4 linked regions of the Diceros bicornis minor genome follow. The protein of the gene in region 1 purifies or fractionates together with the protein of each later gene. This does not show direct contact. Links are inferred from orthologs where the notes say so. Each region holds a gene or a part of one and is shown in the gene's direction. Other genes may lie near its edges. The genes, in order: OTUD5, GRB2, MAPK1 and DNAJA1.

What was found.
Region 2: the proteins of OTUD5 (region 1) and GRB2 purify together in Homo sapiens (affinity purification with mass spectrometry; 3 studies listed by BioGRID and IntAct, with this or other methods). This does not show direct contact. The link is inferred for Diceros bicornis minor from reciprocal best matches to the Homo sapiens genes OTUD5 and GRB2.
Region 3: the proteins of OTUD5 (region 1) and MAPK1 purify together in Homo sapiens (affinity purification with mass spectrometry; 3 studies listed by BioGRID, with this or other methods). This does not show direct contact. The link is inferred for Diceros bicornis minor from reciprocal best matches to the Homo sapiens genes OTUD5 and MAPK1.
Region 4: the proteins of OTUD5 (region 1) and DNAJA1 purify together in Homo sapiens (affinity purification with mass spectrometry, with the first as the bait; 3 studies listed by BioGRID). This does not show direct contact. The link is inferred for Diceros bicornis minor from reciprocal best matches to the Homo sapiens genes OTUD5 and DNAJA1.

The regions. Positions count from the first base shown.
Region 1 is NC_080781.1:42,207,482-42,215,416, reverse strand, and holds the start of OTUD5 (OTU domain-containing protein 5), read left to right. Parts: upstream 1-4,927; 5' UTR 4,928-5,683; coding exon 5,684-6,277; intron 6,278-7,935. Other genes in the region: KCND1 (potassium voltage-gated channel subfamily D member 1), read left to right, coding at 935-1,160. UniProt on the Homo sapiens protein: Deubiquitinating enzyme that functions as a negative regulator of the innate immune system. Has peptidase activity towards 'Lys-48'- and 'Lys-63'-linked polyubiquitin chains. Can also cleave 'Lys-11'-linked ubiquitin chains (in vitro).
Region 2 is NC_080757.1:55,882,655-55,890,107, reverse strand, and holds the start of GRB2 (growth factor receptor-bound protein 2), read left to right. Parts: upstream 1-4,453; 5' UTR 4,454-4,642; intron 4,643-7,453. UniProt on the Homo sapiens protein: Non-enzymatic adapter protein that plays a pivotal role in precisely regulated signaling cascades from cell surface receptors to cellular responses, including signaling transduction and gene expression.
Region 3 is NC_080774.1:30,335,465-30,343,432, reverse strand, and holds the start of MAPK1 (mitogen-activated protein kinase 1), read left to right. Parts: upstream 1-4,966; 5' UTR 4,967-5,166; coding exon 5,167-5,282; intron 5,283-7,968. UniProt on the Homo sapiens protein: Serine/threonine kinase which acts as an essential component of the MAP kinase signal transduction pathway. MAPK1/ERK2 and MAPK3/ERK1 are the 2 MAPKs which play an important role in the MAPK/ERK cascade.
Region 4 is NC_080761.1:53,103,154-53,110,872, forward strand, and holds the start of DNAJA1 (dnaJ homolog subfamily A member 1), read left to right. Parts: upstream 1-4,706; 5' UTR 4,707-4,811; intron 4,812-5,924; 5' UTR 5,925-5,927; coding exon 5,928-6,059; intron 6,060-6,211; coding exon 6,212-6,389; intron 6,390-7,719.

The DNA.
Region 1 (7,935 bases):
GTGTTTTGTTTTGTTTTATTTTGTTTTGTTTTTGGTGAGGAAGATTGGCCCTGAGCTAACATCTGCTGCCAATCCTCCCCTTTTTGCTTGAGGAAGATTGTCCCTGACCTCACATCCGTGCCAGTCTTCCTCTATTTTGTACGTGGGGTGCCTCCACAGCATGGCTTGATGAGCAGTGTGTAAGTCCATGCCTGGGATCCGAACCTGCAAACTCCAGGCGACCAAAGCGGAGCATGCAAACCTAATCACTACGCCACTGGGCCAGCCCTCTATGATGCAGTTTTAATAGTGTGCTCAGGGAAGGCTTTGCTGAGGTGATGACTGAGCCAAGACCTGAAGGAGGTGATGGAGTGAGCCATCTAGATATCTAGAGCAAGAGCTTTCCAGGCATAGCAAACAGCCTGGGCAAAGGCCCTGAGGCAGGAGTGCGTCTCCATGTTACAGCCAGGAAGCTACTGTGAGTAGAGTGGAGTGAATGAGGGGGAGAATGATAGCAGGTAAAATCAGAAAGAAACAGGGACCAGATTTTGTAGATCTTACTGTCAACTATTGTGAGGACTTTGGCATTGTAAAGAGTAACCATAATAGATAACATTTTTGTGTGTGTGCTCATTATGTTCCAGGCACTATTCTGAGCACTTTGTATCATTTATTATCTCATTTACTCTCTACAACTACCCTACAAGAAGAAATACTGTTATTCACATGCTACAGATGAGAGAAAAAAGAGGTTGAGAGTGGTTACAGTGGGACCAGAATTCGACCCCAGGACTGACTCCAGAGCCCTCACTCTGTACCACCATAATTGAGGAGTCAGGGGAAGCCTTTAGCACAGTGCCAGGGACTCAGTAGGCACCCAATAAATGTCATGATTGATGTGGCAAGTATTAAGATGACTTTTTAAGAAGCTTCCATCTTCCCACCCTATCCACAGCCGCTCAAGCCTCAATGCCAAGCCCCATGACAGCCTTGACCTGAACTGTGAAAGCCGGGACTTCGTGGCTGCCATCATCAGTATCCCTACCCCTCCTGCCAACACCCCAAATGAGAGCCAACCTTCCTCCCCTGGTGGTGGCGGCGGGGCCAGCAGCACCCTCAGGAACTCCAGCCTGGGTACCCCTTGCCTCCTCCCTGAGACTGTCAAGATCTCTTCCCTGTGAGGGGCGGCCCCGCCCATCCAGAGAGCCCTCTTGATTCTTGGGGACTCCTTTCCAAAGCCATATTTTGGAGAGGCAGAGAGGGGCAGGCCTGGGGACCCCTTCTGCCCCCCACTGAGAACTATGCAATGGAGTTTCATGGAATGGCCTACCTAGTGGGGAAGTAGCCAGGGAATGGGAAACTTCCCCCAGCCCAGACAGTTTTCCTTGTGGGAGCTGAAGAGCTGGGCTTCCTCGCGCCCCTGGCCTCCTTGCCCCAGCACACTGGGACTGGCCCCTCTTCCTGAGCTGGCCTCCTGCATGCTCCTCCCCTCGGGCCGTTGGGCTCCCACCTGACATCTGAGCTCGGCGTAAGAAGGAGAGATGAGACTTCCTCTTCTCTCTGGCCGGGCTGTGGAGGTTTGGAGGTTCAGAGAAAAGAACTCTCACTTCTGATCTGGCCTTTAGGAGAGGTCCCCACCCTCCACCAGGCCCAATAACTCCCAGATTCTGAAGCTTGGAATGCAACCACAGGCTTCATGAGCTGTGCCTCAGCAGTGACCTGCCACCCCCAGACCTTGGCTCAGGGGTCAGGCTGCCTCTCCCAACACACACAGATAGCACAAACACCACCCACCTTCCCTGGCTGCTGGAAATGGGTCCCCACAACCCCGTCCTCTGCTGGGCCCCCAGCCAACTCTAGCAATAGCAGTTGCTGCCATGACATTATGCAAAGCCTTTGCCCAGTTTGCTGCAGCATTTACATCTGCCCTAATCAGAGGGGCCACCTCTAACTACTCCTCCTTCTCTCTTCTCTGGTTTGCTCCCTTCCTGGGTTGGGCTGGAGTCTGGACTGGCTGAGATAAGACCTGGCAGCTAGCAAGAGCAGGGCTGTGTTTGGAGATCACGGGCTAATTCCATGTTCTTGGGCAGGAGTCCAGAAGCATCAGGGCTGGGGCCTGGGTTGTTCCTGAACTCTGGGAGTTCTAGGAGGCAGGAGGAACTTATTGATCTCCTCCTCCCACAATGCTTTTTCACATATTCCTCTTTCTTCTCCCTTTTGGGTCACCTTCCAGAACTCTGTGTCTGCTCTCAGGCTGAAATCTGGCATCATCTCAGGTTCCCTGTCCCCAGCACTGTCCCTGTGGAGTTGGAGGCTGACAAAGATGTAGTTTCCATCAGTCAATAAAATCTGAGAGGAGAGATGAGGCTGAGCACCTCCTGGCTTTGTGGGTTTGGGGGCTGGATTGGGCTAGGGGGTTAACAATACTATGATTTCAAAGTATTGCTGGAGAAGGGCTGGTTGTGGGTAAAGGTATGGGAGGTGGATGGTTGGTGACGTGTTCTGGAAGATGGGAATCTAGGAGAAATGAAAGAGGGTGGTTTGAAGAGTTGAATCTACAGCCAGCAAGGCAGGCTAGGAGGTCGTGAGACATGCCCCTTGAACTTCATCTGCTCCAGCTCCCTCACTCACAGATGGGGGAACTGAGACCCAGAGCAGCACACGCTTGATTAGAGGAGACTTAAACCGAGGCTTCCTGACATCAAACAGCTCTGAATTGAACCCTAATGAAAAGCATCTCTCAGTTTGGCAAATTCCCCTTCCTTGTGGATGTCTCCTACATTCTCTCTTCTGAGCTCCCGGGTACACTAGGCTAGTGTGTGACTGAGCTCTGTGGAGCACTGAGAAGACAGACCTTGGATTCAGGTCGACCTGGGTTCCAATCCCTGCGTGAGAAAATTACTTCTGTTGCCTCAGGTTGCTAATCTGCGAAATAATCATTCATTTATTCACCAAGTATTAACTTCATATCATGTGCTAGCCCTAGGGAGACAAAGATGGGCAAAGAAGACATCATCTCTCATCTACAGAGGTGAGCATGGAAGGCAGGCAATTAAGCGATTACAATACAGTACAGTAGAACTAAGATGGATAGATTATAGAAGCATGTAGATGGCAGGAGAACCTAATCTGGCCGACACATGAAGAATGAGTTGGAGTTAGCCAGGCAAAAGACAAAAGTATGAAAATGTATCAGGCAGAGAGAACAGCATGTGCAATGAATGAGCTGGAAGGTTAGAGAGTGAGCTCAGGGCCTTTGGGGAACTGAAATTAGTTCAGTACAGCTGGGGAGGAGAGTGTGAGGCTGTGAGGAGGGTGAAGATGCAGAGGTAGGCCAGATCATAAAAGGCCTTTGAAGCTATGATACAGGTTTTAGACTTCATACTAAGAATGATAGGGACCTCTGAAGGCTTATAGACAGGAAAGTCACTCTCAGGTTTGTGTTTCAGAAGGATCATTCTGTCTGTGGAGAGCGGATTATAGAGAAACAGTCCCAGAGGGAGGACGAGCAGTGAGGAGGCTTTTGCAGAAGTCCAGTTGAAAGGTGATGGTGGCTTGGATCAGGTAGTGGCAGTAAGAGTTGGAGAGTCAAGAGATTTGAGAGATAGAATGGGCAGAATTTGGGATTGACAGGCATGCAGGAGTTAAGAAAGAGGAAACAGTCAAGGTTGACTTCTTGGTTTCTGGCTTGGGGAAAGGCTGGATTGGGGTGCCATTCACTGTCAAAGGGAACATCAAAGCTGTTAGTGCACAGTGCCAGCCACATAGTAAGTACTCGGTGAAGGTTAGCTACAATTCTTATCATAAGTTCAGGTTTAGATATGTAGTGCTGACCAAATATCCAGTAGGGAGTGGGATGTATGGGTCAAGTGAGATGGTCATGAGAAGATTCCATGTGATAATGTGCATAGGCATTTGGCACAGTGCCCTGAACACAATAGGCCCAGTAAACGTGAGTCCTCTCCTCTCATTGTCTCAAGAGCAGAAAACACCACAACAGTCCGTTTATTACTGACATCCTTCAGGGAAGAACTTCAACTAGGGTCAGCATCTGAAGCGAGGTTAGGTCGCACTCAGAAGGGCTTTCTGATGGTCTCACTGTCAACCTCTTGTATGGCTCGGCTCCTAAGACTGGTAGTGAGCCCTCACCTCTCACAACACCTTCTCGGTTCATGAGCTTATTGAACCTCATAACTACTCTCTGAGGGAGTCTGGGCAGGCATTATCACTCCCGTTTTACACATGGCTAACCCCAAATTTGAGACACAATGACTTGCTCGAGGTCATACAGTTGGTAAGGGTCCATCCGTGCCTGGAACTGAAGCCTGGAACTGGACTCTTCCTGACTCCAAAGCCTGAGATCCATTCCATTGTACCGTCACGCAGACTAATTTATTGAGCATTTACTACGTGCCAAGTACAGCACCAAGCCCATTACAAGCATTCATCTCTGATCATTAAAATGGAATTATCATTGCCAGTTTACAGAGAAGTAGAATTTGAGGATGGAGGGTGTTAAATGACTTGCCGGAGATCACTCAGACAGGAAGGTCAGAGCTAAGATTAGCTTGTAGCTCTCCAGTAGCTCAGTAGCAGGGATTTTACCAACCCCATTGCGAGACGCTGGCCAGTGACAGACCTGGTTCATAGACTTCTCGATCCAGGTAAACTCAGTTTCAGAAAAAAAGGCTGCGCTACGCCTGCGCACTAGCTACAGGGGCGGGGAGGTCAACCCGAGGGCGAGAATGCGGTGGTGCCAAAGTGGGCGTGTCTGTTTCCCAAACACCACGGTGCATGTCTGTCCCATGGTTGGCCTTCCGACTTGAATGACGGCCTCTCTTAACCAATCATCGCAGAATTCAGCCTGTTGCCAGGGTGAAGCGGCGCCCTCCTCTCCGTCGGATGTGGATTTGCCGGTGGGTGGGACCGGAACTGACGCTTCAGGGGATTGCTATGCTCTGGGAGTGTTGATATTCTCGTCAGTCCGGCTGACTGCAGCCAAGTTAGAAGCCTGGTAGGGAGGTACTTTTAAAATTATCTTGCGTGGGGCAGGCTACGCTGTCCTGTCGCAGTACTCCTGCCTGCGAGTCAGAGCCTCGGAGAGAGAAGTAAAGAGCGGACACGGCCGACAAGAAGGCAAGGAACGAGGGTGCCGACTTGACTGAAATTTGAGACGGAGGGCACGGGAGGGCGAGCGATCATCTCTGATTGGCCTGTGGGCGTCATCGAAGACCCACGCAGCTGCTTCGATTGGTTGCTGCCCGCAATTGTTGTGGCGGCGGCGAAGATTTTGCCCACGTACTTCCGCACGAGAGGCGGGGCTGTGCCCTGGCGCGCGTGCGCAGCGTCCCGGGGCCCCACCCGGTAGTTCAAGAACCTGCGAGGGGGCGGGGCGAAGAGGTGCTTGTTTTGGTTCTGTTTCCTTTGAAGCAGAAGGCCGGAGCGAGCGTAGCAGTAAACTTGCTGGACTTGAAGAGAAGGCTACGACAAACTCGCCGGGGTGCCTTCAGCTTGGACTTCACATCCGGGTTCTCCTGCCGCGTGACCCGCGCGCCGCCGAGAGTTCTCGAACCGGTGCCTCAATCTCTTTATCCGGGTCCCGCCGATCCCATCGTGCTTCGCGCACCACAGTAGCCCCCTCATCCGGGTTCTCTCCCGGCGTGCCCCGCGCCGGGTTTGCTGGGGGGTACTCGGCGGTGCCGCCATGACTATTCTCCCCAAAAAGAAGCCGCCGCCTCCCGACTCTGACCCCGCTAACGAGCCGTCGCCGCCCGGGCCGCTGCCCCCGGCGCCGCGCCGCGGCGGGGGTGTGGGCGTGGGCGGCGGCGGCACGGGCGTGGGCGGTGGCGACCGCGACCGTGACTCGGGCGTTGTGGGGGCCCGTTCCCGGGCCTCGCCACCGCCTCAGGGTCCGCTACCGGGGCCACCGGGTGCGCTTCACCGCTGGGCGCTGGCCGTGCCGCCAGGCGCTGTGGCAGGCCCGCGGCCACAGCAGGCCTCTCCTCCTCCTTGCGGGGGCCCAGGCGGACCCGGCGGCGGTGCCGGTGACGCGCTGGGCGCAGCGGCGGCGGGTGTGGGCGCGGCGGGCGTGGTGGTGGGCGTGGGCGGTGGTGTAGGCGTGGGCAGCTGCTGCTCTGGGCCGGGTCACAGCAAACGGCGGCGTCAAGCGCCTGGGGTTGGCGCGGTTGGCGGGGGCAGTCCCGAGCGTGAGGAGGTCGGCGCAGGTTACAACAGCGAGGATGAGTATGAAGCAGCTGCAGCACGCATCGAGGCCATGGATCCTGCCACCGTCGAGCAGGTATGGGCTGGGGGTGGCAGGTGAGTGAGTCTGGTCGATGGGATCCCCGGGCTGGGTAGGGACCCGAGGAAGGTTTTTGAGATCGGCCCAAGGGCCCTAACATCTTTTCCCGGAGCTTGGCGTTCTTTTCTCTGGTGGTAGGGGTGTGAGACACCCTCTTCCTCCTCTCAAGAACTTGGTGTTAGAGGCCCCAGATGAGATGGAGGACTTAAAGATGAGGTCTGTGGTTACTTTGAGGACTCATGGTCGTCATTTCCGGCCCTGGGACCTCATCATGTAGGGCCAATAGGTGGGAACTCCCCAGGAGACACAGGCAGGATGGAATGCTTTCTGAGAAGGGTGTCTCCTGATTCTCCAAGGAACTTTGGTCTGTGTTCAGTGGCTTGAGATTTCTTTTTCTCTGGGATAAGAGTCTAAGACTCCGTCTTCAGGGAACACAAGTGAGGTGGAGACTTCAGAGATGTCTGAGTGTCCCCAAGATACCTAAATCCTTTCGGGAGTCTGAGACACTATATAGGACAGATCTCCTCTACCTTCTTCTCAGGGGAACACAGTGCAGGACCACTCAGTGATGGGGTCTGAGACCTCCTCAAGGGTCCTAAGCCTGCCTTCAAGGGCCTGAGACTCCCTCTTCTAGAATCATGGGCCTGACACACACATATATGTCTTCTTTAGAGAGAGGGATCTTCTGAGCTTTTCTCCAGGTATATAAGACTTCTTTCAGGGAGATAAGATTTCCTTCCCATTGGGGACAAGGGTCAAAACACCCAGGGACCAGAAACTCTACTAGGGCATATGAAACTCATCTCCTTTCTAAGTGACAAGGGTCTATGCTTCCTCTCAGTGGTCTGAGACGTTCTTGGGGACCAGAGTGAATCTCTCTTAAGCTTCTGTTAAGCATTAGACTTTCAGCTTCCTCCCTGCCCTGAGCCTTGCTTCAAGAAAGTGAGACTCACTGTTTTGGATACTGGAGCCTAAGATCCTCCTGCTTATGGACTGGGGCTTTCAGAGACTGGGTCTGAAGCCTCTTCAGGAGACTGATACCCCTCCGCAGGTCCCAGGCAAGGTGAGGTCTTTAGGGGACCTTTCTCCTCAGGAGCTAGTGTCTGAGTGTTCTTCTTAGGAATCTGAGACCCCCCCCTTCACACACACACACAGGGATGTGAGATCCTTCTAGCCCAATTATGAAGGACTGAAACACACCTTGGGGACATAACAGCCCCCTCTTCCCCTATAATAGGCATCTGAGCACACACTCCCCACACGTAACGGCGTGAGCTTCTTGTCAGGGACGTAAGATCCCTGCCTTGGGAACTCGGGACTGAGACCACTCTTCAGGGGACATGGGAAGCATGGAGTCCCAGAGATTTAGTCTGAGGCCTCACCATGGATCTAAGCCTGCCTTCAAGGGCCTGGGACCCAGTGTGCTAAGGACGCTTGCACTTTCTTTCAAGGACAGGAGACCCTTATATACCCCAGTGACTAGTGTGTCTCTAGAGATGAGGTCTGAGCTTCCCCCTCAAGGAACTTAAGGTACCCCTCAGGAACAGGAAAACTCTCCCCACCAGAATGGAGCCCTGAGACCCTTCCCTTGGGGCATGGATACAGAGTCCCTGGAGAATAGTGTCCTGAATCTCCCCTCAAGAGTTTACACTTTC
Region 2 (7,453 bases), on another chromosome or scaffold:
AGAGTTCAAAGGAACGTGGCTGAGCATTGAGGCTGGACTTGTTGGCAGCGGCTGGCCATGGAGGGCCATGTGGAGCATGCTAAGGACTTTGGACCTTATCTGTGACCCCTTGATTCAATTTGTATTTAAGAAAGCCCACTCCTGTCCGCCCCGTGGCTTAGCGATTACGTGTGGGCGCTCCGCTACTGGTGGCCCGGGTTGGGATCCCGGGCGCGCGCACCGACACACCGCTTCTCCGGCCATGCTGAGGCCGGGTCCCACATACAGCAACTAGAAGGATGTGCAACTATGACATACAACTATCTACCGGGGCTTTGGGGAGAAAAAGGGAAAAAAAGGAAGAGGATTGGCAATAGATGTTAGCTCACAGCCGGCCTTCCTCAGCAAAAAGAGGAGGATTGGCATGGATGTTAGCTCAGGGCTGATCTTCCTCGCAAAAAAAAAAAGAAAAAAAAGAAAGCCCACTCCAGCCGCAATGTAGATATTGACTTGGAAGAGGGCAGGATGATAAGTAAGCAGGCCAGAGCATCCCTCCAGGAAGGATGGTGTCATGGACCACGTCAAATGATGGAAATAGAGTCAGGAGGTGGAGGAAGCGAAGTCACAAGACTTGGGGTCCCCTTAGTAGGCTCAGCGTCAGAGGCCACCCTCGAGGCCTGAGAGGTGTATGCAGCTTTGACTTACAACTTGAGCAAAGGAAATTCTAAGATGAAAACTTAGAGCTGGTGGGAGAATTTCAATGACCAAGTTTAAGTTGTCACTGGCTGTCTGATATTTTCCCACTAAAGAGAAGCTCAGAAATGTGGGCTCAGAGGATGCACCTGAGATGGTCTGGAGGCTGCTCCTACCGGAGGGGGTTAACTGTCAGGCCAGTTTCCTAGGGACTTTCAAGGTTCAGTAAATGCCAGGCAATGTCCAGTTCTTAACGGCAGGTGGCAGCATCACAACTCACAGAAGGCAAAGCAAGAAACTCTTTCCGACGACTAAAAATAACTGCAAACCCCAACCGAAAAGATGGATTTTTTTTTTTTGTCATTAATTTTTGCATTCTGAAGTGACTGATGTGGCCAGGTTGTAATCAGCAAGTTTTGCTACAGTTACAGCAGGTTTTCACACCTGAGTGTGACTTTTACTTCACAATTTGCCTCATTCCAATTTCTTTTCACTATTTAACACTAATCACACATACATTCAAAACACTACTGCCTCTAGTGTGTTTTTTTCCTCTGCGTGGAATGATCTTGGGCAGCGTTCTTTTAAGTTTCTGAGTCTGTGTCTGTAGAAAAGAATTTTTTATTGAAAAGACAATGTAACAAATGTTGAATTTTTTTTGTCACCCACAATTGCTTCATTTCAACACAATTATTTTTACTCTTAAATGTTCCCTTCCAAATCTAGTCCATATGCATATATTTTTACACAGACATACTCAGAGTCTGTTTTATCAATGCTGCATTTTAAAAGGAAGTGCATTTTTTTTTCCTTTTCTCTAGGCATCTAGTCTCTTCTGAGATCTCACCCACTTCCTTAGCTTTAAATATCACATTGCACAGAAAAGCAGCCACATCTTCCTCTCTAGTGAACCTCTTATTTATTCATCCATCCATCCATTTATTCACTCCATGCACTGTGCTGGGAGCTGGGAATACAAATGTAAAAAGGCGTGGTCCTGTTTGTCTGGGAGCTTGTAGAGCATTGGGGTGGGGGTGGGGGGACACAAAAACACACACAAATGATAATGCTGCAATGAGATTGGAGGTACAGTGGAAATTTTGAGGAAGAAACCCTAAAACTGACTTGGGGGCCTAAAGAAAGGGAAGAAGGCCAACTGAGCAGAGGAAACTGCATGTGCAAAGATACGGGCACTCAAAAGATCATGGCACCTTCTGGAAACCACAGTGGTTTGGTATTGGTGGAGTGTGTTGGCTGGAGACTGAGAGGGTGGGGTTGGCAGGCAAGGGCCAGATCCATAAGGATCTTGCAAAGGACTTGAGATCTTATTTTGTAGATGATAAATATCTTAGTTCCAACTGATTTTCCACTCTGCAGCCAGAGTGATACCTATTTTGAAGATGAAAATCTGACTGTGTGTCATTCTCCCCCTACCCCCGCCCCCACCTCCCCAGCCCTGCTTCAGTATCCCATAGAATCAAGACCCTAGTTTATGGCTTCCTTGAGTTCTCTCTTACTTTATGGCCTGTGCACATGCTGTACTCTCTCCGGAGAACTCTTTTCCTCTCAGGCTAACCAGGGTCTCAGCTTAAACCTCTCTCCTCAGCCTTCCCTGAACCAGACTGGGTCAGGTCCCCTGCTATATGCTCCCAAAGCTGCCATCACTGCGAGTGTCATACTCTCGAAGGTATGTCGTGTCCTTTAGGCTGCAAGCTCTGTGATGCGTTATCCTGCCATCTACAGAGTAGACGCCCAGTTAATGTTGTGAAGAGGACTAATGAAGGCATTGGGATTTTCAACAGCACACTGGATATTTCCACCTGCATGTCTCCTGAAACAATGAACTCTACATTTCCAAAACTGGGGCATCATCCTTACCTGCCTCTTCCCTGTACCTCATCACCTCCCTCTCCCCCGCCCAGTCAGCTGCTCCTCTTGACTGGCAAATTTCTCTGTTGTTCTCCCCACTTGAAGCAGGGAGCTGCAATTCTTCCTTCATTTCCTCCTCCTCTCTGCTCAGCAGCTAAGTCTTCCCTTTCATTTCTTTCTTTTTTTTTTAATCTGGCTACCATTCTAGAATAAAGTATCATAGTGGGGGAAAAAATGGGTTTTAGAACAAGACAGGCCTAGCTTTAAATCTCAAGTCTACTATATTTGGGTTTCCTTGGGTAAGTTACTAACCACTCTAAGCCTCAGTTTCTGAGTCTGTAAAATGGGGACATTATCCACCCTGTAGAAACACTATGACTTTAGTACACATCAGGTGGTAAACAGATTGGTCCTCTTGTTATTTTCACCTCATATCAGACATCTACTGCTCAGAAATCTTCAGAGGTTTCATATCACTTGAAAATGAAACTTAAGCCATACATCTTGGCCTTGTCTCTCATTACTCCTCCCCCTAAATCCTAAATTCTCTCCAATCTGAAATATTGGCTGATTCCGTCACTCTTTCCTCTCTGCTTTCACGTTGCAGTTCAAACACCAAGTTCTCCCTGATTACCTGAGCACCAAGTAACTGGCTCCCTCCTCTGCAGTCCTATATATAGTTCAATGGCACTAGGGCCAACTGTTTTGCCTTGCAGACTAGGCAACTCTGCTCTAGATTACAAACTGCTGAAAGCTGAGGCTTTGTCGTGTTCATCTGTTATCCTGCATAGCGCCTCGAGTGCAGTTGATGCTCAATAAATCTTTGGTGAAAGAACAATTAATTTTCCTTTTTCAATGGGCTTGTTTTCTCTATAGAATCAGGTGTTTGGTTATCCTCATCTCCCTGACTATTTTGTTGGCTTCCAGAGAGCACATTACCATTAGATGCATTTTGTTCTCTCCTTCAATTGGAAAGAGATTTTGGAACCGAAAAATAAAAGTTACTTCTCCAAGCCTCATCTTCTGCCACTCCCCCGTACTCACCCCGCCTAGTACAGGAATCGAACTACTTAGCATTGTACAGAACACGATTCTCTCTCACGCCTCCCTTCCTTTGTACCTGCGTGCCGTTCCCTTCGCCTGGAATGCCCTTACCCCGCCTTCTCTGTCTGGCGAACTCCTACTCATCCTCCAAGACTCGGCTCAGACATTACCACATCACCTTCTCTGGGAAGGCTTTTCTGAGATGGGCAGAGTGGCGACCCCTCTCCCCGCCTTTTAGCTTCCTTAGCATTCCTTTTAGCTTCTTGAGCATTCCCCAAGTAATTCTAACAGTACTTATGGCGTTGTTTACATTTCTGCCAATTTTCTAGACGGTGAATTCCTTGAGGGCCAGGATTTCTGTTCGTCGTTGTACCTGCTATACCTTGCTCAGTGCTTAGCATGCATTCGACACTTGATTAAATCAACGAGGGAACGAATCTGTTAACTCATCTAACACTGCAGAGTTTGGACAGGATTCTCAAATATTTCAAGACCTAGTCTTCTATTTGGAGTGCTTCGTGCTGGAGACTCCCCTCTCTCCTCCCCTAAATTGCCTTGGTTTGGCGGAAGGGAAAGGGAAGTGAGTGATTAGTACGTGCATAACAGTTACTTCTGGGCTGAGCTGTAATTTATTTGCTCCGGCACCGACCGGGTTGCAGCGACCCAGGGGGCGGAGCCATGCCGGTGCCACCTGCTGCGGGGCGGTCTGGCGCATGCGCCGTGGCACCTAGATAGTCTCTACCTGCGGGGGCCCGGCCGAGGAGGAGCGCTTGCGCTCTAGGCCTTTTCCGCCGGGGGAAGTCTCGTGGGGGCGGGGCGGGGCGGGGCCGCGCGGGGAAGTTCTCGCGAGACCCTGACGAGGAGCGGAAGCGGGGAGACTGTCCTGTTTCGGCTACCGGGAGGCGGCGGCGGCGGTAGCAGCAGTGGCTGTGACGACGGCTGTGGCGGTGACGGCGGCGGGAACAGGCGCTGCCCTCGGGGAGCAGTAGTGGGGTCGGCAGCCGCTCGCACCGCTGCGGAAGGGCCAGCCGGTGCGGAGCAGAGCAGCTGCGCCACGGTGAGTGCGGACGGCGGCGTCGGCGCTGCTCCGGTGCCTTTTCCTCCCCGCTCCGCGGCGGGAGTCGGCCCGGGGGGACTGGGCCCAGCCTGCCGAGGCCGCCGTGCCTGGGGTTCGGGGTGGCGAGGCCGGGGCGGGGAGCGGAATCCCCGGGGCTCCGGGCTCCACGTTTCCCCTTTTGGGGCGCTTCCTTCCTGGGGACTGTCCTCTCCCGGCCTTTGGCTGGAGGCAGAGCCCCGGACTCCGGGGCAAGAGGCCGGGGGCTCCTAGTTAAATTCCGCGGCTTTTTCATGAGGATTTGCGCAGAACGGGCCCGGGAGAAGCCCGAGAGCACGGGGTACTCATTCTGTGAGTCAGTCTGACTCGGCCCGGGAGGCGGGGGATTCGCGGCGGGCTGCAAGTGTGTTGCTTGATGCTCCTTCGACCTCCACGGCCACCACGTCACCATCTCCTGGTGTCTGGGCCGAATTTTGGGAAGACACCCACCAACCCTGTTAATACAGTGAGTTAGAACGTTTGCTACTGGAGCCATTCGCGATGCCTTTACTTCTGTCGCTCCTTTTGAACTACTCGCTGAAAAATATTTGTCAAGAAAAATAAGCAGCACTTGGTTGAAATGCTCCGAGGAAAGAGTTTAGTGAGAGAGGAGAGAGAAGCACGGGTTTTTTTTCGTTTGCAGCGCTCTCCATATATATGATTGTAAGCCATATGAGTTACAGCTAGTTATTCCAGGTTGTCTTCAGATGCTATAAAAGGACAGTTTGCAGAGGAGCTGAAGTGCACTCGAGGTCTGTTTTTTGGTAGCTGACTCAGAAAACAGTCGAAAAGACACAGTGAGAGAAATTGGCATTAGTCTGTTTAGCATGTCTGTTTTGTCCGTCTTTTCACTTAGTACTTCTCCAGTTGTTGCCTTTTCTTTCTATCTAGTTCTCTCCGTTCTACTGCGGACACTAAATGCTTATTGGTATAATGCAAGTCATTTGCCCCCTCCCCCAGCTTTTTTCTAATCTACTTCCCCTTCCTCCTTATTGTCCCCTTTCTGGCATAATTTTTCAAGGTTTCTGCTCTTTGGCGCAGTTCGTTTTCTCCCTCAATTAGATTCCGTTTTCTGTCCCGGGAAGATACCCTCTTTCCTGCTTTATCCTTTATTTTTAAGCGTCCACTGTGTTCCTTCAGTCAGCCAGAAGGGTTGCTAGAGAGCCATGCGAGACTTAAGTTCTCCCCCTGGGAACTGGGAGGCTCAAAGGATTGAATTCATCCGTAAGTAATCAATACTGCCACTAGGTCACAAGTGCAGCTTGCTTGTGTTATTTGTGTTTTAGTTTTTCTTCACTTTAAGATCATGCTTTTGTGCCTGCTTATGCTTTTCTTTCTATATCACTTTTATGTTAGTAAGGAAGATTGGGTCAGTTGGGGGCTTGTGTGACTTCTTTTTGGCTTTTAGTGGGGGTGGTTAACGTTAAAAAATGAAAACCAATCACAGACCTATATTACAATAGAGTTAAGATAACATGAAACATTTAAGGGAATAGAATTTATTTAGACCATTAATAAATTAAAGCTTGCCTATGGTAATAGTACTAATTATTTTTTACTAGGCTTTATTTATTTATATTTTATTTATTTATTTTTTAAAGATAAGGGTTATTCTTTTTTTTTTTTTGGTGAGAAACATCAGCCCTGAGGTAACATCTGTGCCAATCCTCCTCTTTTAGCAGAGGAAGACTGGCTCTGAGCTAACATCTATTGCCAATCCCCCCCCCCCACACACACAAAGCCCCAGTAGATGGTCGTATGTCGTAGTTGCACATCCTTCTAGTTGCTGTATGTGGGGCGCGGCCTCAGCATGGCCGGAGAAGCCGTGCGTCGGTGTGCGCCCGGGATCCAAACCCGGGCCGCCAGTAGGGGAGCGCGCGCACTTAACCGCCAAGCCACGGGGCCGGCCCTACTAGGCTTTTTTTAAATCAGACATCTTTTCCTACATCTGTTATAATCAGCCTTCTTTGTTATGGTTGTCAGATTTTTTTGACATAAAGAATTAACAAATAATAAAATATTTGTTTTGTTGCCCCTTTTCTTGTTCAGAATTTTCCGAATCCTAAAACAAAAAAAAGGAGTTAATTCTTGTAATCGGCTTTCTTTGATACTAAAAGCAAGCATTTAAATACTTGAGGCAGTTTACTTGCTCAGCTTGTCTATTCAGGTTTGAGGGATTACTAGGTTTTAAATACTACTAGTTGATGGTACTTAGAGATTTTTCTCAGTAATTCCTGTTATCATGTTGCATGTTGTGCAGCAACAGTTCTAATTGTTAGCTAGAGCAGAAGAGTAAAGGACTTTGAAGAAATGAAGTAATACAGAATAGAGACCCACTATGCTCTCCTGAGAGAAATTAATAGTTACTTGCATAATTCAGAAGAACTTTCCAGGGCCCAGCCTGGTGGCGTAGCGGTTAAGTTCGCACGTTCCGCTTTGCCGGCCCAGGGTTGGCGGGTTCAGATCCTGGGCACAGACCTGCTCATCACTCATCAAGCCGTGCTGAGGCGGGGCCCCTATAGAAGAGCTACACATCTACAACTGTGATACAGAACTACGTACTGGGGCTTTGGGGAGGGAAAAAAAAGAAAAAAATGGAGGATTGGCAACAAATGTTAGCGCAGGGCCAATCTTCCTCAAAAAAAAGAAGAAGAAGAAGAACTTTCTGGGACTACTGAATGGCCGTTGAGAGTCGTGGTTTTATGTGTCAAAGTTCGTTTTTTCCCAGTTGTGCCAAGTGAATATGCATTATTTTCATTTTATGCAAAGACATTG
Region 3 (7,968 bases), on another chromosome or scaffold:
AACCTATCTTTATTTTAATTTTTGTTTATTTTATATATCACAGATAGTGGTGTGTAATATATTTTACTATAACTGTATTTCTATTAGTCATACATATTTCTAAAGATTTGTGTTTCCTGTTTTGTGTTGCTATGCTATTTGGTGCATTTGTTTTCACAATACCTCTTTATACTATATGTATTCTTGGCCACTTCTTTCTTACAATGGTACATATTCAGAGTTTGTCTTTTGATCTAATCTGAGATTTTCATAGTTTTATACAGGAATTTTAGCTATTTATGTTTTTCTTATTTATTTACATTTGCCTTATTTGTTACACTTTGTCTTAACTTCCCATCATCTATTTTTTTGGTGTTTTGGCATTGTTTTTTATGATTCCTTGCCATTTCCTCACATCTACAATGTGAGGAAAGTGTCTAATACACTTCTTGGTACAGGACTCTTGATTTCTGCTGTGTGAATTACATTTTCCCTTTTATCTCCTATAATAATTTATAAGGTAGACATAAAGCATTTTACACTAAAAAAATATGAAAATTATACTATTTTTAAAAATAACTTTTATCTTCACTTTATGTAAAAGACTTAGTGCCTTGCTTTTTCTACCCTCTTTCTTCCTCTCTGGTTTTCATTGAATTAATCTGAGGTTAAAAATCCTCTGTCTCAAATTCTTTTCTTTTGCATTTTGTTTGTTACCATAGTGACAACAATTATTTCAACTTATCAGCATCAAACAGTCTCTACTGAGTGGTGTTTTTATTCACTTATCTCTCTATCTTTAGCTGGTTTCAAGGCTCAGTGCCAATTTTCTCTCATTTCATCATTCATGAGTTTCTGATTCATGTCTCAGTGATTTATTATAAAATTCTGAGCAATTTTTGCAGAAAAGGGAGTTAACTGGGTAGTGTGTTAGTCACAAACTCTTGTGGTTTCAAGTTACAGAAACCTACCTTAAATTGACTTCAGTAAAAAAGAGAATATATTGGCTCACGAACCTGTAAAGTCCAGGCTCAGTTGAATACAGCCTCAAACCGTGTCATCAGGAAATTGTCTCCATCTCTGGGCTCTGCTTTCCCCGTCTTACCTTCATTCTCAGAGGGCACTTCTCACATCAAGGCATGTTTGGCCTGAGACTCATACTCACTGCCGTAGCACCCCAACAGAAAGGAAGTACTCCTTTCTCATTGTTTCTGCCAAGTCTGGGCTGAGTGTCACTGGCCTGGATCAGGTCACATGCCCATCCTTTGAACCATCTGTGACTCTGATTAGGGAGCCCTGGGTCACATACTTACTCTTGACTTGGGGGTGAAGAGTGCAGAAGGGATGGTTCACCAAAGTAAAATTGGTTTTTTGCTAGCAGAAGGAGGAGGAGTTGATGCTATATAGGCAAAAATGACAGATGTCCATTGTTTTCTAAGATTCTGCAGATCTGTGAACTGTCACCACTCTAGAGAGGCAATAAGGAAGACATCCAGGTGGCCAGCTGGCCATTCAAGCAAGGTCTTCTGCTTCTATAGTGGCTTAGTATGGTTCCAGAGCCTAGCCCTCAGCTTTGCGCTTCCAGAAATTTGTTGTTGTCAATGTAGCTAGATGATTGTTCCCTCTGGGCCTGCCTCATGCTAACCTGACTCAGCAGAGACTGATGTATATCTAAATCCCATCTTAGAATGAACAGTAATTGCCAAAGGACCTGAATAGGGCTGTCCTCTGGTCAGTGCACTTTCCCTGTCAAAAACCACAAGTGAAGCCAAACTTTAATCATAACGTTACTTAGTTCCCATGGAACCACGCAAGAGAAGTTCTCTGGAGAAAATTAGTGGTCAGATGCATCATGCCATGATAGTGTGGTGGCTTTAAAATGTCCACAAATGCTGGAAGAGTGGAGAGAGAACACGTTACAGGGAGAGAGACAGGCATGTGGTGACACTGAAAGACAAAGAGAACTCAGAGTAGTCCAGTCTGGTTGAAGCATGAAGCACAAGGAAGGCAGATTAAGCAGAGTGGTGGGGGAGGGGTGGTCAGCAAAGGCCTCACTCTGAGTGCAATGGGGAGCCACTGACTTGCTTTAGGAAGGGGAGTGACATGGTCAAATGTGTTATGGAAAGATTGATCTGGGTATAAGGAGAAGCAATTGGAGATTGGCAACACTGAAAGCAGAAGGGTTAAGGCTATTGTGGTAGCCTAGGTGAGAGTTGATGCAGCAGGCTTTACGCAACAGGATGGCAGTGCGGGTGAAGTGGATTCATTTAAAACAGTGCTTTTCAAAATTCTGTAACTACGTATGGCGACAGATGTTAACTAGACTTATTGCAGTGATCATCTCGCAATATATACAAATATTGAATCATTATGTTGTACACCTGAAACCAATGCAATGTTGTATGTTAATTACACATCAATAAAAAAATAAAAAAGAAAACAGTGCTTTTTAAAGTTTAATATGCATACGAACCACCTGGGGATCTCGTTAAAATGCAGATCCCGATTTAGTAGGTCTGGGGTGAGGTGCTGCATTCCTAACAAAATCCCAAATAATGCTGGTGCTGCTGGTCTGGAGACCACACTTTGAGTAGAAACTATTTCAGAAATATTAAAGAAATAGAATTTATATGAGTTTGTGACTGGTTGGAAAGGGGGAGGGTTGGGAGCGAGGTAAAATGAGTTGTTAAGGATCATACCCAGACCTCCAGCTTGAGTATCTGGGTGGTGATGCTATCCAAGATAGAAGATGAGGAACACGTTTCAGTGGGGTAAATAACAATAACAGATAACATTGATTGGATACTTACTATGTGCCAGGCTCTTTACATATATTGTCTTATTTATTCTGTACAACAAACTTATGAGGTAGGTACTATTGTGATCTTCATTTTAAGAGCGAGGAAACTGAGGCCAAGCTCATATAGGTACTAAGTGGAGCAGCAAAGATTCAAACCCTCTGGCAGTCTGAGTGCAGAACTCCTCCAGTTAACCACTGGCAGTCTGGATATATGAAGTTGAAGCTCTTGGAGGATGATGTCACATGGAGCTGTCCAGTGGACAAGATGACTTGAACTTCAGGAGGCAGATTCTGAGCAACAGTTAAAGACCTAGAAGGAATCAAGGCATTGGAGGGGATGAAACCCTCCAAGGAGGGTTACAACCTACCCCCTCAGAGTGCTGTCAATCTTGTTCCATTTTCCTTTCCATTTAATTACAGAGGAGGAATCTAAAGAAAACCAGTTTTTACCATAATCTTTTTTTTCTGATTGGATACTGTGTTTGTTCTTTACCCCCGAAATTATGTCTCGAGGTTGGTTTCTGCTCATTCATTTTTCGGCATCCCAGCGAACTCACCCAATTTTCCATCTCCACCTCAGATCTTTTCAGACCTAAGGCAAGTTTTCTTTTATTATCATTTTAATTATTGCCTCTAATTGATTTGCTCTGACTTCTGTTAGGGGAATTCCTATAGTTTGACTCTCCATGAAGTTTTCTTCTCAAAGAATTCCAGCACTTTGAATTTTTCTTATATTTATCTTCTATATTGCTGATTTGCTCTGTTGCATTATCAAATCTGCCTTTTACTGCTTTGACCACTGAATTTTGCTTTGGTTATAGTGGTTTTAATTTCATAGTACTCTCCATTTACTTTGGCCTGTTCTTTAAAAGACGCAATGTCCTCTTATAATCAAGAATAAGCATTAGGTGCTTTCTAAAACTGGGTTCTGCTTCATGGACTAAATATATTTCAAAGATTAAGTTTCGGCTCTAGCACTTTCTTTCTTTTCTCATGTGCCACATATTTTTTTCCTATGGGGTTTTTTAAAAATTTGCTTAATCACCTTTGAGACTGACTACTTGAACTTCACTGATGTCTGAAAGTCCTGAGTTGATGGCTTTCAAGATCACAGTATTGGACAATCAGAATGCATCATCTCCCACCCTGACTCCCCCTCCAAAGATGGCATGGGAAATGGTTCAGAAGCAGGGGCTCCATCATTTTCTGTCTCATTGTGTTAGCTATTCTTGGCATTCATCTGCTTCAGGATTCCGATTTTTACTTTTCAACCTCTGGTGTGTGTGACTATTTCTGAGCCCAAGTGTGTTTGTCTCATTTTCTCTAGATATGGATGTTTTGGTTTTAGCGTTTTCATCTTTGCATTCATACTTCAGTATGTCCTATGTCTAAGATTCTGTGCATCTGTGCAATCTGGGTCTCAGTTTCTGAATCTCAATGTCTTTCTCTAGTGTCTCACTCCACTACTCCCTAACTCCCTACTCTGCCTTATACTTCTTCATAGTACTTACCAGAACTTGAGTATTTCATATGTATATATTTCTATTTAATCTATGCCTCCTTCTAGAATGTAACTTCTGTGAGGGTGCATGCCCAGGGACATGGCAGGTGCTTCACAAACACTCGTTGAATGAACCTCTGTCTGAGTAACGGATCCTCTCAGAGTCTCTCCTTTTGGTCTCGACCTTTGTATTTCACACTTTCTTAGTACGCAAACGTCTTTCTCGGTCTCGGTCACGCCTTTCGGTTCCTATCCTCGTCTCGAGGCCTCTAAGTTCGTGTGTGCACCACGGACCCGCACACGCCTGGCGCAGACCGCGGCCGTGTGTGGCGCGTCCTCGTCTCTCACGCGCAGTCCCCGGGGGCTCTCTGGCTCCGCCAGAACCCCCACTCTGGGTATTTCCCTTCCCCTGACCGTCTGGCAAGCCACGTCCCAAATCTGTCCAACGCCTCCGTAACCTCCTGCATCTCGGGAACCGCCTCCCGCGCCGACTCCCCCGCGAACACACGTGACCACGCAGGGCGGTGCCTCCGCCGCCGCCGCAGTGCTTCGCCCTGAGCTCGCCGCTTCCGCCGGCCCGCGCAGCCCTGCCCCCAGGCCGCGGGGAGCCAATCGGCGTGCACGCTGCCTGGCCCCGCCCCGGCGCCCTCGGCGCGCGCCCCTCCCTCCGCCCGCCGGCCCGTCCGTCAGTCAAGCAGGCAGTCGGTTCGAGGGATTGTTGGGTGTCGAGTCTTCCTGAGCGGTGACCTCCTTGCTGCTTCCCGGTCAGCGGCGGCGGCTGCACCGGCGGCGGCGCGGTCCCTCCGGGAGGTGCGGCGTGGGCCGAGCGGCGGCCGCGGAGCGTCGAGCCCAGCGCGGCGGCGGCGGCGGCGGCCGGGCAGCCAACATGGCGGCGGCGGCGGCGGGCGCGGGCCCGGAGATGGTCCGCGGGCAGGTGTTCGACGTGGGGCCACGCTATACCAATCTCTCGTACATCGGCGAGGGCGCTTACGGCATGGTGTGGTGAGTGTCCGCGCTCGCCCGCAGGCCCGGCCGCGCCCGCCGCCCACCGCCCGGGGCCGCCGCGGACGCAGCTGCGGCCTCGTCCGCGCCTCGGCCTCCTGCGCCGCCGCGACCTCGACCCCGGGCTTCGCCGCGGTCCGCGCACCGGGGGCCTCGGGCGGGGCCCTGGGGCCGGGCGAGGTTTGCGTGTTGCTCGCGGCGCTTCGCGGGTCGACCCTCACCCGCCGCGGGGAGGGGCGCGGGGGGCGGGGGTCGGGACCAGGGACTCCCGGAACCGGGCGCAGCGCGAATTTCAGAGCGAGGACCCCCGGGCAGGGAACGGTGGCGCCTCCCGTCCCCCAGTTTGCCAGCCTTCTTTGCACATCCGATTGTAAAGCCAGGAATTCCTTCAGATGTTTGTCGGTGGTGGCGGCGGCCGTGGTCTTGAAAGCGGTTCGCCTCGGGGTGTGTACAGAATGCCGAAATAATCACATACGATGTTCCTCCCGTCGCCTGTGTTTTCCGCGAACGGCTTTCATGAAACATCTTTAGTGGTGCTAATGGTGCTCTCCTGCGCAGGCTTTCTAAAAAGCATTAGCGGCACCAGTGCTGTTTGTGGAATATTTCAATCTCGAAGTTTTTAAGTGGATTTTAATATTTTACTGTTTGCGTTTCAGGAAGAGTAAGCCAGCATCGCTCTCTTGATTTATTAAGGAGTCATCTGGAGTTGGGCCTAATTTGACTTTTTTTTCTTTGCCTCGAGTGAGCGCTCTTATCAGCATAAACGTCTCCAGACGTTTTAGCACAATTACTGTGGACTTTTCCTATTAATGTTTTAGTGGTCAGTATATATACAGCCTTAATGGAGTTGTTGCAGAATCACGTGCAGGCTCTCTCATCTTGATCCAGATCCCTCAGATTGTGGAATGGAGGTGACGGTATTGTTTTTATTAGAACCAACTAGCTGTAGTGTTTTGTGCTGATGAAGACACACCTAAATCTTACAGCTAAATCTTCTTGTGTCTTTTTGTGTTGATTGTAGGAAGCAAATTAATATTTATTGAACACTTGGCAGGTACTGTGCTAGGTACGTTATCTCATTTTATATGAACAGCTACCTCAAGAGAGGAAGAGGTGGTAATATCCCTCTTTCAGGTGAGAAAGTATTTCGAGGTGAAGCCAATCCCTAAGGTCATAAAACTAAAGAGTCAGACTTGATATTGTAGACTGAGATCCTACTTCAAATGCTGCAGCTCTTCCTATTACTCCCTGCTTTCCTTAAATAGTATTATTAGTAATTTTAGAATTTTAGTATGTTTTACTGTTATAAGCAAATCTATTTTAGAAACACATTTAAATTTGAATGATTATAATTTTAGAAATGCCATAGAGAGCATGTGTTACTAGGTATCATAGCTAGACAGAAAGACTCATTAAAATTCTTTTTTAAAATGAAGGCCTAATAGGGACCGGCCGGGTGGCGCAAGCGGTTAATTGCGCGCGCTCCGCTGCAGCGGCCTGGGGTTCGCCGGGTCGGACCTCGGGCGCGCACCGATGCACCGCTTGGCAAGCCATGCTGTGGCGGCATCCCATATAAAGTGAGGAAGATGGGCACGGATGTTAGCTCAGGGACAGTCTTCCTGAGCAAAAAATAAAAAACAAAAAGAGGAGGATTGGCAGATGTTAGCTCAGGGCCAATCTTCCTCACAAAAAAAAAAAAGGACTAACAGATTTTTGAATATTTTCGTTTTCTTCTGGAGCAAAATGCTTCATGGTGTCCAACTGTGGAAATTAATGTGAACTCAGAGGCTTAGGAGCCGAAAAAGAAATTAAATTAGGTTAAGTCTAAAAGAAATAAGGCCCTAGAAAGTAACAGAGAGCAAGTACTGCCGGCAGCATCACTTCTCTGCATACATCTGATTGCTCTTGCACCTGCTGGTGAGGACGCCTGTGAACGTGTCTCATTGTGAAAGGCTCACAATTGGCCATCACATTCCTTTGACCCTTTTAAAAAATGTAACACCTGAAATATGGACTGAAAAAATTTTTAGATTTAGGACATTTCAGTTGAAAGTTTTTTTTCCTATCTGATAAGATTTTTACTAGTCTTTAGATGATTTAGATCTAGTAACTGTTTCTGTCACTACTGTAGAGTTATTTGACCTAAGTCTCTATCAGGTGAAGTGCCAAGTACTTTTGCTGTAATTTCCTTTACCTAAGTAAAATATGAATATCATTGGAATTAGAATCCTGGGTCCAGATTATAGTTTTTTATCTTCAGGTTGATGATATACCCTAGTAAGAATTTAATCTACATTATACATTATTAGCATTTAGTAAATGTTGATTAACAGTACTGGGTTTATGGAGGGCTTTTGTTTGTTTGTTTTTTGTTTTGTTTTTTTGAGGAAGATTGGCCCTGCACTAACATCTGTTGCCAATCTTCCTCTTTTTTTCTTTTTTCTCCCCAAAGCCCCAGTACATAGTTGTGTATCATAGTCCTAGAGTTGCAGCTCTTCTATGTGGGGTGCCGCCTCAGCGTGGCTTGATGAGTGCTGAGTAGGGCCGTGGCCAGGATCCGAACCGGCGAACCCCAGGCTACCAAAGTGGAATGGGAGAACTTAACCACTACACCACTGGGCCGGTCCCTATGGAGGGCTTCTTGATTGAAATGTTAAATTTTTTTTTTTTTAATTTTATTTATTTA
Region 4 (7,719 bases), on another chromosome or scaffold:
TCATCTGGAAGAATAAACACACTAGAAAATGCCAGAAAAATTGTGAAAAGAAGGAGCAATGAGGGGAAACAGGCCTCCCAGACATTAAAATGTATTTATTTTAGGGGCCGACCCGGTGACACAGCGGTTAAGTTCTCGAGTTCCGCTTCAGTGGCCCTGAGTTCGCCAGTTCAGATCCTGGGCTCAGACCTACTCACTGCTCATCAAGCCACGCTGAGGTGGCATCCCACATAGAAGAACTAGAAGGACCTACAACTAGGATATACAACTATGTACTGGGACTTTGGGGAGAAAAAGAAAAAGGAGGAAGACTGGCAACAGATGTTAGCTCAGGGCCAATCTTCCTCAAAAAAAAAAAAGAAAAGGAAGAAACCACTTTACTCTGTAGCATTAAAAAAAAAGTCACATAAGAACATTTACTAAGGGGCTGGTTATGAAACAAATTACTAACTTTCCTCTGTATAAAAACAAAATGTATTTTAATGGAAACTTAGTATACAATTAAAGTGGCATTTCATATTACTCAGGAAAGATAGAGTATTAAAATTGTGTTAGACAAACTAGCTGGCCATTTGGAAAAAAAATGAAGCTCAGTTACTTACAAATAATCCTCAGCCCTCACACCAAAACAAATTCTAGGTCGAATAAAGATTTAAATGTAAAAAATGGAACCACGAAGTACTAGAAGAAAACCTGGGAGAATACATTGATAATGCTGGATTGGTGAAGCCTTTCTAAACATAACAAATAAAGGAGAAGGGGGAGGCGGAGAGAAGGGAGGAGAAGAAAAGAAATGCAAAAGTCAAAAAAGAAGAGTTAAAACTTATCTAAATAAAATTAAAAGCTTTATATGGCCAAAATATATACATAGAGATACAGGTACTAAGTCAAAAGCTACAATACATCAGAGAAAATAACTGAGACACACGACAGACTAAGACCTACTATCTCTAATGTCAAGTGCTATTACATATCATTAACATAGTGGAGTTACACCACAGAAAAACGGTCCAATAAAAAGAATGGACAGTTGACAGAAGAAGAGTTGGTAAACATTTAAAAGATGCTTAAGAGGCCAACCCCGGTGGTGTAGTGGTTAAGCTCACGTGCTCTGCTTTCATGGCCCAGGGTTCACAGGTTCGGATCCTGGGCACAGACCTATGCACCACTTAACAAGCCATGCTGTGGCAGGTGTCCCACATATAAAGTAGAGGAAGATGGGCACAGATATTAGCTCAGGGCCAATTTTTCTCAGCAAAAAGAGGATTGGCAACAGATGTTAGCTCAGGGCTAATCTTCCTCACCAAAAAATAAATAAATAAAAAGATGCTTAACCACATTATTAAAGAAACTCAAATTAAAACAACAGATATCACATTTTAATCCCTAAGGTTAGCAAAGATTTAAAAAAACACAGAACCCTCCATATTGGCAACACCCACTCATGCTGCTGGCGGCAGTACAAACTGACATGGAAAGTTATTTATTACAATTTTAAATTTGCATTCGCGTTGACCCAGCAATTTCAATTCTAGACGTCCATCTTACAGATATACTTGCTTGAGTGCCCAAAGCTGTATTTGAGAATTTCTCTGCAGCATTGTTTGCAAAGCATTGGAAATTGCCAAAATGTTCATCAATAAGGGAATGGTTAAATAAATTATAGTGCCTGCATACTATCTAATATAAAGTCGTTAAAAATAACAAGGTATATTTATTTATTCTGACCTGGTAGGATGACAATAAATTAAGTAAAAGGGCAAGTGCAAACAGCATGTATAATATGATCTCATTTCTTTACAAGAAAAGATCACATACTAAATTATTGCTAATCTTTTTGCATTTTATGTAAATAAGAGTGCTTCTTAAAAGTGTTAACTTCTATTACTGAAAAGCCAGAATATTCATCAGGACATATTTTCAGCATCACTGAGATAAGTTTCTATAAAGGGAAAAATGTCAAACGGAACATATGTATTGATGTTTTTTAAGGCAACTAAGAATCACCTAATTTTGCTGTTGGGGTGACAAGTTACTAGTTCAAAGCTTACACTGGGAGGAGGAAATTTTATATTTTTCTAATTTTTAAATAAATACCACATTCAAATGGGTTAAATATTCCAAAGTTACAGAAGGGTATATTGTGAAATGTCTCCCTCTCATCCGCCTCTCCCCAGCACCTAGCTCTCCCCACAAGCAACCATATTACAAGTTTTGGGGTATCCTTCTGAAATATTCTATGCACACACAAGCAAATAAGTACAGTTTTTCCCTTCTTGTAACCAACTTTTATGCCCCTTATGTTATTCTTAATAAACAATTAAGCTCACTTAGTGAGGTTGCAGATTTTAAAAGCATTTTCAATATCATGTTTCATAGTCTTAGGTGCGCACTCTCAAGGAGGTTATCTTATTTGTATCACACTTCCATCTTTCTAAAAGTTGTGGGAATTTCAACTGGGTTCCTTAGGCAAAAAGAAACACTAAACATGGTAGGATTTATGAAACACTAGACATGGTAATATTTATTGTGGAAACTCTTGGTTGAAGTGATTTGATATACACAGTACTGAAGCTCATTTCACATGCTTAACCAATGTTAGATTCATAGACACAGTTCATGTTACAGTAGAGAAGGAACTTTGGGACTACAACACCTACATAACACATGAACAATATTTATTATTGTTCACTTACTGTTCTTTATTAACTGCTCATGTTTTCACAACTGCCTGTCTCTCAGCCTGGATACTCATCTGGACGGTGCCAGGTCCCCCTACTCAGCACCCCAATACTCCTTTATTTGCATTTATCACACAACTTCTCCTTTACGTGGTGACCTCCTTGCCGGCAGAGACCATGACTTCGTGATTTTCACATTATCAAGCCCTAGTACCCTGCCTGGCAGCATTAGACTTCTAGTAACTGCTAGTGAAAAGGAAAAACTTTATACCAGAGGTGGTATTTGAGAAGGTAACATCTAAGATTGGAAAAATTAGGTGTTTGTCAGCCAGAACAAAAGCACAGAGAGGTGAAAAAGTGCCTCTGGGAAACTGCAGATAGTTCGGTGTGACTGGCATGCACCTGTTTTGTTGTTTTGTTTTTTTGCGAGGAAGATCAGCCCTGAGCTAACATCCATGCCAATCCTCCTTTTTTTTTGCTGAGGAAAACCGGCCTTGGGCTAACATCTGTGCCCATCTTCCTGCATCTTATATAGGACACTGCCACAGCACAGCCTGACAAGCGGCACATGGGCAAGTGCCCAGGATCTGAACCCCCGCCGCCAGCAGTGGAGCGTGGGCACTTAACCGCTATGCCACGGGCCGGCCCCTGCATGCACCATTTAAATAAAAGAGAGAAGACTGAATACGCATGGGGACGCCTCCAGGATAAAGTTCAAAAACTGTTTAGCAAGACATACCAAGAGGTGTTCCCCAACTAGCTCTGAACCCACACTCCCTGCCACTCCAGCTCCCTTAGCCCTGGCTATATCCAGTTACTTGCAATTTCCTGGAAACATATTCTTTCACACCTCAGCCGTCCTTTGTACTTGTCTTTTGCTGGGAATGCTCTTCTTTCTTCAAAACTCTGCTCAACCGCCCCTTTCCCAAGGAAGCCTTCCCTGTTCCATCAGATGAATACAGGAGCCTCTCCCCGGCTAACCTGTCTTGTGGTGCCCTTATAGTGCATTGACTTGTCTGGTTCCCCACTGAAATCTAAGCAATGTGAACCCGGCTTTTCCAATTTTGCATCTCCAGATTTCTTGGTGCTAGATACTCCTAGCGGTGGTGTTCAGGGAGGAAGACAGACTCTCTTTTCCATTATACCCCCGTTCCAACATTTGAAAGCCCACAATCACTTTGCAGACCGTAGATCACGGTTCACAGACCTGGGGGGGGGGGGGCTTAAAAGTTAAGTCAGGTAATTGAAACAATTTGTTAGCTACCCTTGGTGGCCACTCTGTGTCCCCGGCTCGCCAAACCGGGGAACGCCCAGCCAGAGCAGTCCATGGCGCTCAGTCTGCTCCAAAGCATGACAACGTCTCCCCGTTCAGCGCTGCCCTGAGCCCAGCGTGCAGGAGCCAGGAGGCCGCGGCAGACAACGTGTCTCGGAGGCTGGACTTGCACAGAGAGCTCTTCCGAGGCCGCGGGCTGCGCGTGAAAACGAACCAGACCCAAGGCCTGCGGGACTGTTCTGTGGCCCAGGACCCTCTTGCTCAGCATTTCCTGCTCGGCGGGTTCCCAGAACCTCAGGGCTAAGGAAGCACGCCGGTGAGAGGCCCCAAGAGGCGAGCGAGGCGCCAGCGGGAAGAGGCGCGGAGGGGCTTTGTCCCGAGATGCCCGCCCCGCACCCAGCGCCCGCCGGGCCGGTGCCCGCGTCCCCCCGTCCCCGCGGGCCCCGGCCGCCGCCTCGCCGGTGTGGGCACCCAGCTGCAGAGCACCGGGGCAGGCCCCGCTCCCGCCCGACACTTCCGCACTCTAGGGCCGACCGGCGGAAAAAAAGGGCTCCAGAAAGTTCCACGAGCGCCGGGAACCCAGGCTAGTGCCCACCCCCACAAGGCCCTTCGGCAAGCCCCTCCCGGCCCGAGCGCCCCCGCGCCGTTGCCGGGCAACCGCGGGGCGGTGGGAGCGCCGGGAAGGGCGGGACTTCCGGTGGGTGACGCGACCGAGCTCGGCTACAAAAGACGACGGCTGCGGCGCGCCGGGGGAACTTTCCAGAACGCCCGGTGTGAGGCGGAGGAGCCGCGACCCGAGCTGCGCACAGCAACGCGCTCCCTCCCGCTCCCCCGCGCCGGCCTCGGCCCGCTCACCGGTGAGTGTCGGCCCCCGCGCGTCCCCTGGCCCCCATGGCGGCGCCGGGAGCCGGAGGGAGCCGCGGCCGGGGGCGGTTGGCTCCGCGTGGGCGGGAGGGTTGTCGGTTCCCGGACCCACGATCTCCTCCTTGGAGGGCTGGTGTAGTGCCCGGCCACCCATCCCCGGCCCGCAGCGAGCGACCCCGAGATTCTCCCGAAGTTTCCCCGCTCCCCATCCAGCTTGAGGTCCCCGCGGACCCGCCGGCGGCGGCTTGCCCGCGCGCGCGCGCCCCCCAGCGACCCTCTGCCCGCGCTCGCCGGGGTGGGCGACTCTCCGCGCACGCGCAGAGGAGCCGAGGGGCGAGGGGCTGCGGGCGGAGCGGGCGGAGGCTGCAGGTTTCGCTTCTCCGCTCTGCCCTCCTTCTCTTTGTTGAGCCCTGGGCTTCGCCTCCCGCCGCTCGATCTCGGGTGGGAGGGAGAAAAGGAAACCTTCACCGTCGGCGCCCGGCGCAGGGGGAAACCTGCCGACGTGTAGAGTGGGCCGGCTCGTGGAGGCAAGGGGGGTTCCGCGGGCGAAGCCGAGGAGCTCTAAGTCCTGTGATTGAGAAACATCCTTGGGGTTGAGGGGGAGGGGAGCCTGCTCTCTGGCGCCGGCGTTCTTAATTAGTTTCAAAACCCCTCCCAGCCCCCTTGTGCCCAGGTGTCTTTTCTTCTCTGGAGGGTATGGTTTATCAGATTTACCGAAGACGAAGATGATGTAATAACCAGTGGACTGAACCTATTAGTGCTCCTTTTGATTACTGCTGCCGCTCACTGCTTGGGGAGGCGAACAGGAAGGGTCCAGATAATAGTCGCGTTAGTGTGGAGGCTTTCATGTGGGAGAGGGGAACCAGCTGCTGTAGAAGGAGGCTCTTGAATTATTCCCTGATAATTATTAGCTTATATTTAGTCTGTTAGAACTCAGGGCTGAATTATCGAAGGGATCGTTACCTTCTCCGTGAACTTTAGGGAAGGCGGTGCTCTTATAATCAGATTTGGCGAAGAACAGATTTCTCTGCTTAACTCTGATTTTACTAATTAAAACTACCAGTTGAAAGTCGGTTAAAATTGCCTTTTCTTGTTTTATGCTGTAGAAAATGGTGAAAGAAACCACATACTATGATGTTTTGGGGGTCAAACCCAATGCTACCCAGGAAGAACTGAAAAAGGCTTACAGAAAACTGGCGTTGAAGTATCACCCTGATAAAAATCCAAACGAAGGCGAGAAGGCAAGTAGCATGCTCATATTAAACATAGCTGGATAGTTCTTTGCCAGGTGTATGGTATTTCTATTACAACCTGAAATTGACTATGTCTAATATAGTGGTTTTGCTTTGTAGTGTTTTTTTTAGTGAAATTTATTCCCTTTTTTCTCAAACAGTTTAAACAGATATCTCAAGCTTATGAAGTGCTGTCTGATGCAAAGAAAAGGGAATTATATGACAAAGGAGGAGAACAAGCCATTAAAGAAGGTGGCGCAGGTGGCGGTTTTGGCTCCCCCATGGACATCTTTGATATGTTTTTTGGAGGAGGAGGAAGGATGCAGAGAGAAAGGAGAGGTAAGAAGAGCCTAGTCCCCCTGCAGCAAATTAAAGAAGCCCTGGGTCAGAGCAAATTCTTGAGAATTCACTTATTTTAAATGCTTATTTATGTGTCGGTATAGTGTTGCAAAGTGACCATAAACTGCCACTTTGATTTACGGTATAGTTTTTTTAAATGAGATTTGATGTAACTAAAAATAGCTAAGCCAATCTAGTGCTAACAAGTGAGTGCTTCTAAAGCTCTCAGATACAGACGATTTCTGTGAGGTTATCCGGCATTAATTACAGAAACAAAGAATAGGCACATAATTTTTTTTTAAATTTAAAAATTAAAAAAAAATTTAAATTTTTACAAATCTTATTTGACCCCACCCACCTAGTGGGAGGTACTGACAAGAGGGAGTTAAAGTTCAGAAACCTAAAGTTTCCTCCAGGTTGGATGTAGCAAGGCAGCAGTTGAGTCAGGGTTGGAGCACAGGTTCTTTGCCAGCAAGTAGCCCGCTGTCCCTTGAATCTTGCTTTGGCTTTCTTGTATCAGAGTATGTGTCCTAACATTTAACAGAAGTGTGGTTTCTGAGCTGTGGAAATATTCTTCATAGGAGTACAGTGTTGGGGTCAGAGAGTTAGTCTCACTTTGTTCCCAGTAGGGTTTATACAAACAAACAAACAAGGGCTGATGGGTAGAGCCCATTTCAGAAGGAATAGGCAAGCCATTAAATTTCACTTGGAACTGTTTCAGATTGAGATAAGACTGGAAATTGTTTATTCAGTGCTCCTTGAAAGGGGTATGTTTTTATTTACTTAATTTTAAGAAATTTATCCTGAAATAATTTGCAATGAAAATCAATTGCTTAGGATGGTTTGTCCCACAGAATAGTAGTGGTCCTTTTTGTTTTTTCCGCTTCTTTTTTTAATGAAGAGTTGACCGGCAGGCTCTTGTGTGTGGCTTAGGTCAATGAAAGGTCGTTTTTTGGTGTGACACTGGAAAATACTTGCTGAATAGAGCTGCAGCAGCTTTTTTCCTTCCCTGTACTCCACACTCGGTGAAGCTGCAGTGAGAGCGGTTGGCAGCTTTTGGCATGCCAGAACCAGCTACATGGGACTGTATTTATGATTCAGAACCCAAAGGTGGAGGTAGGTAGGAGCAGAAGGATATAGTTAATGGTGCTTCACACTTCATTGGAAACTTGGCATGTTGTGCAGATGGGAGTTGGGGGATTTTTTTCATTTACACATAAGGCATTACTGTCTTGTGATGGATAAAGTCCTTGTGGAAGAATCAGTAGCTAGGAACTTATTAACCATTGGCAGGTGACTTCGTTTCCGTAGTCTCAGTATCCTTTTATGA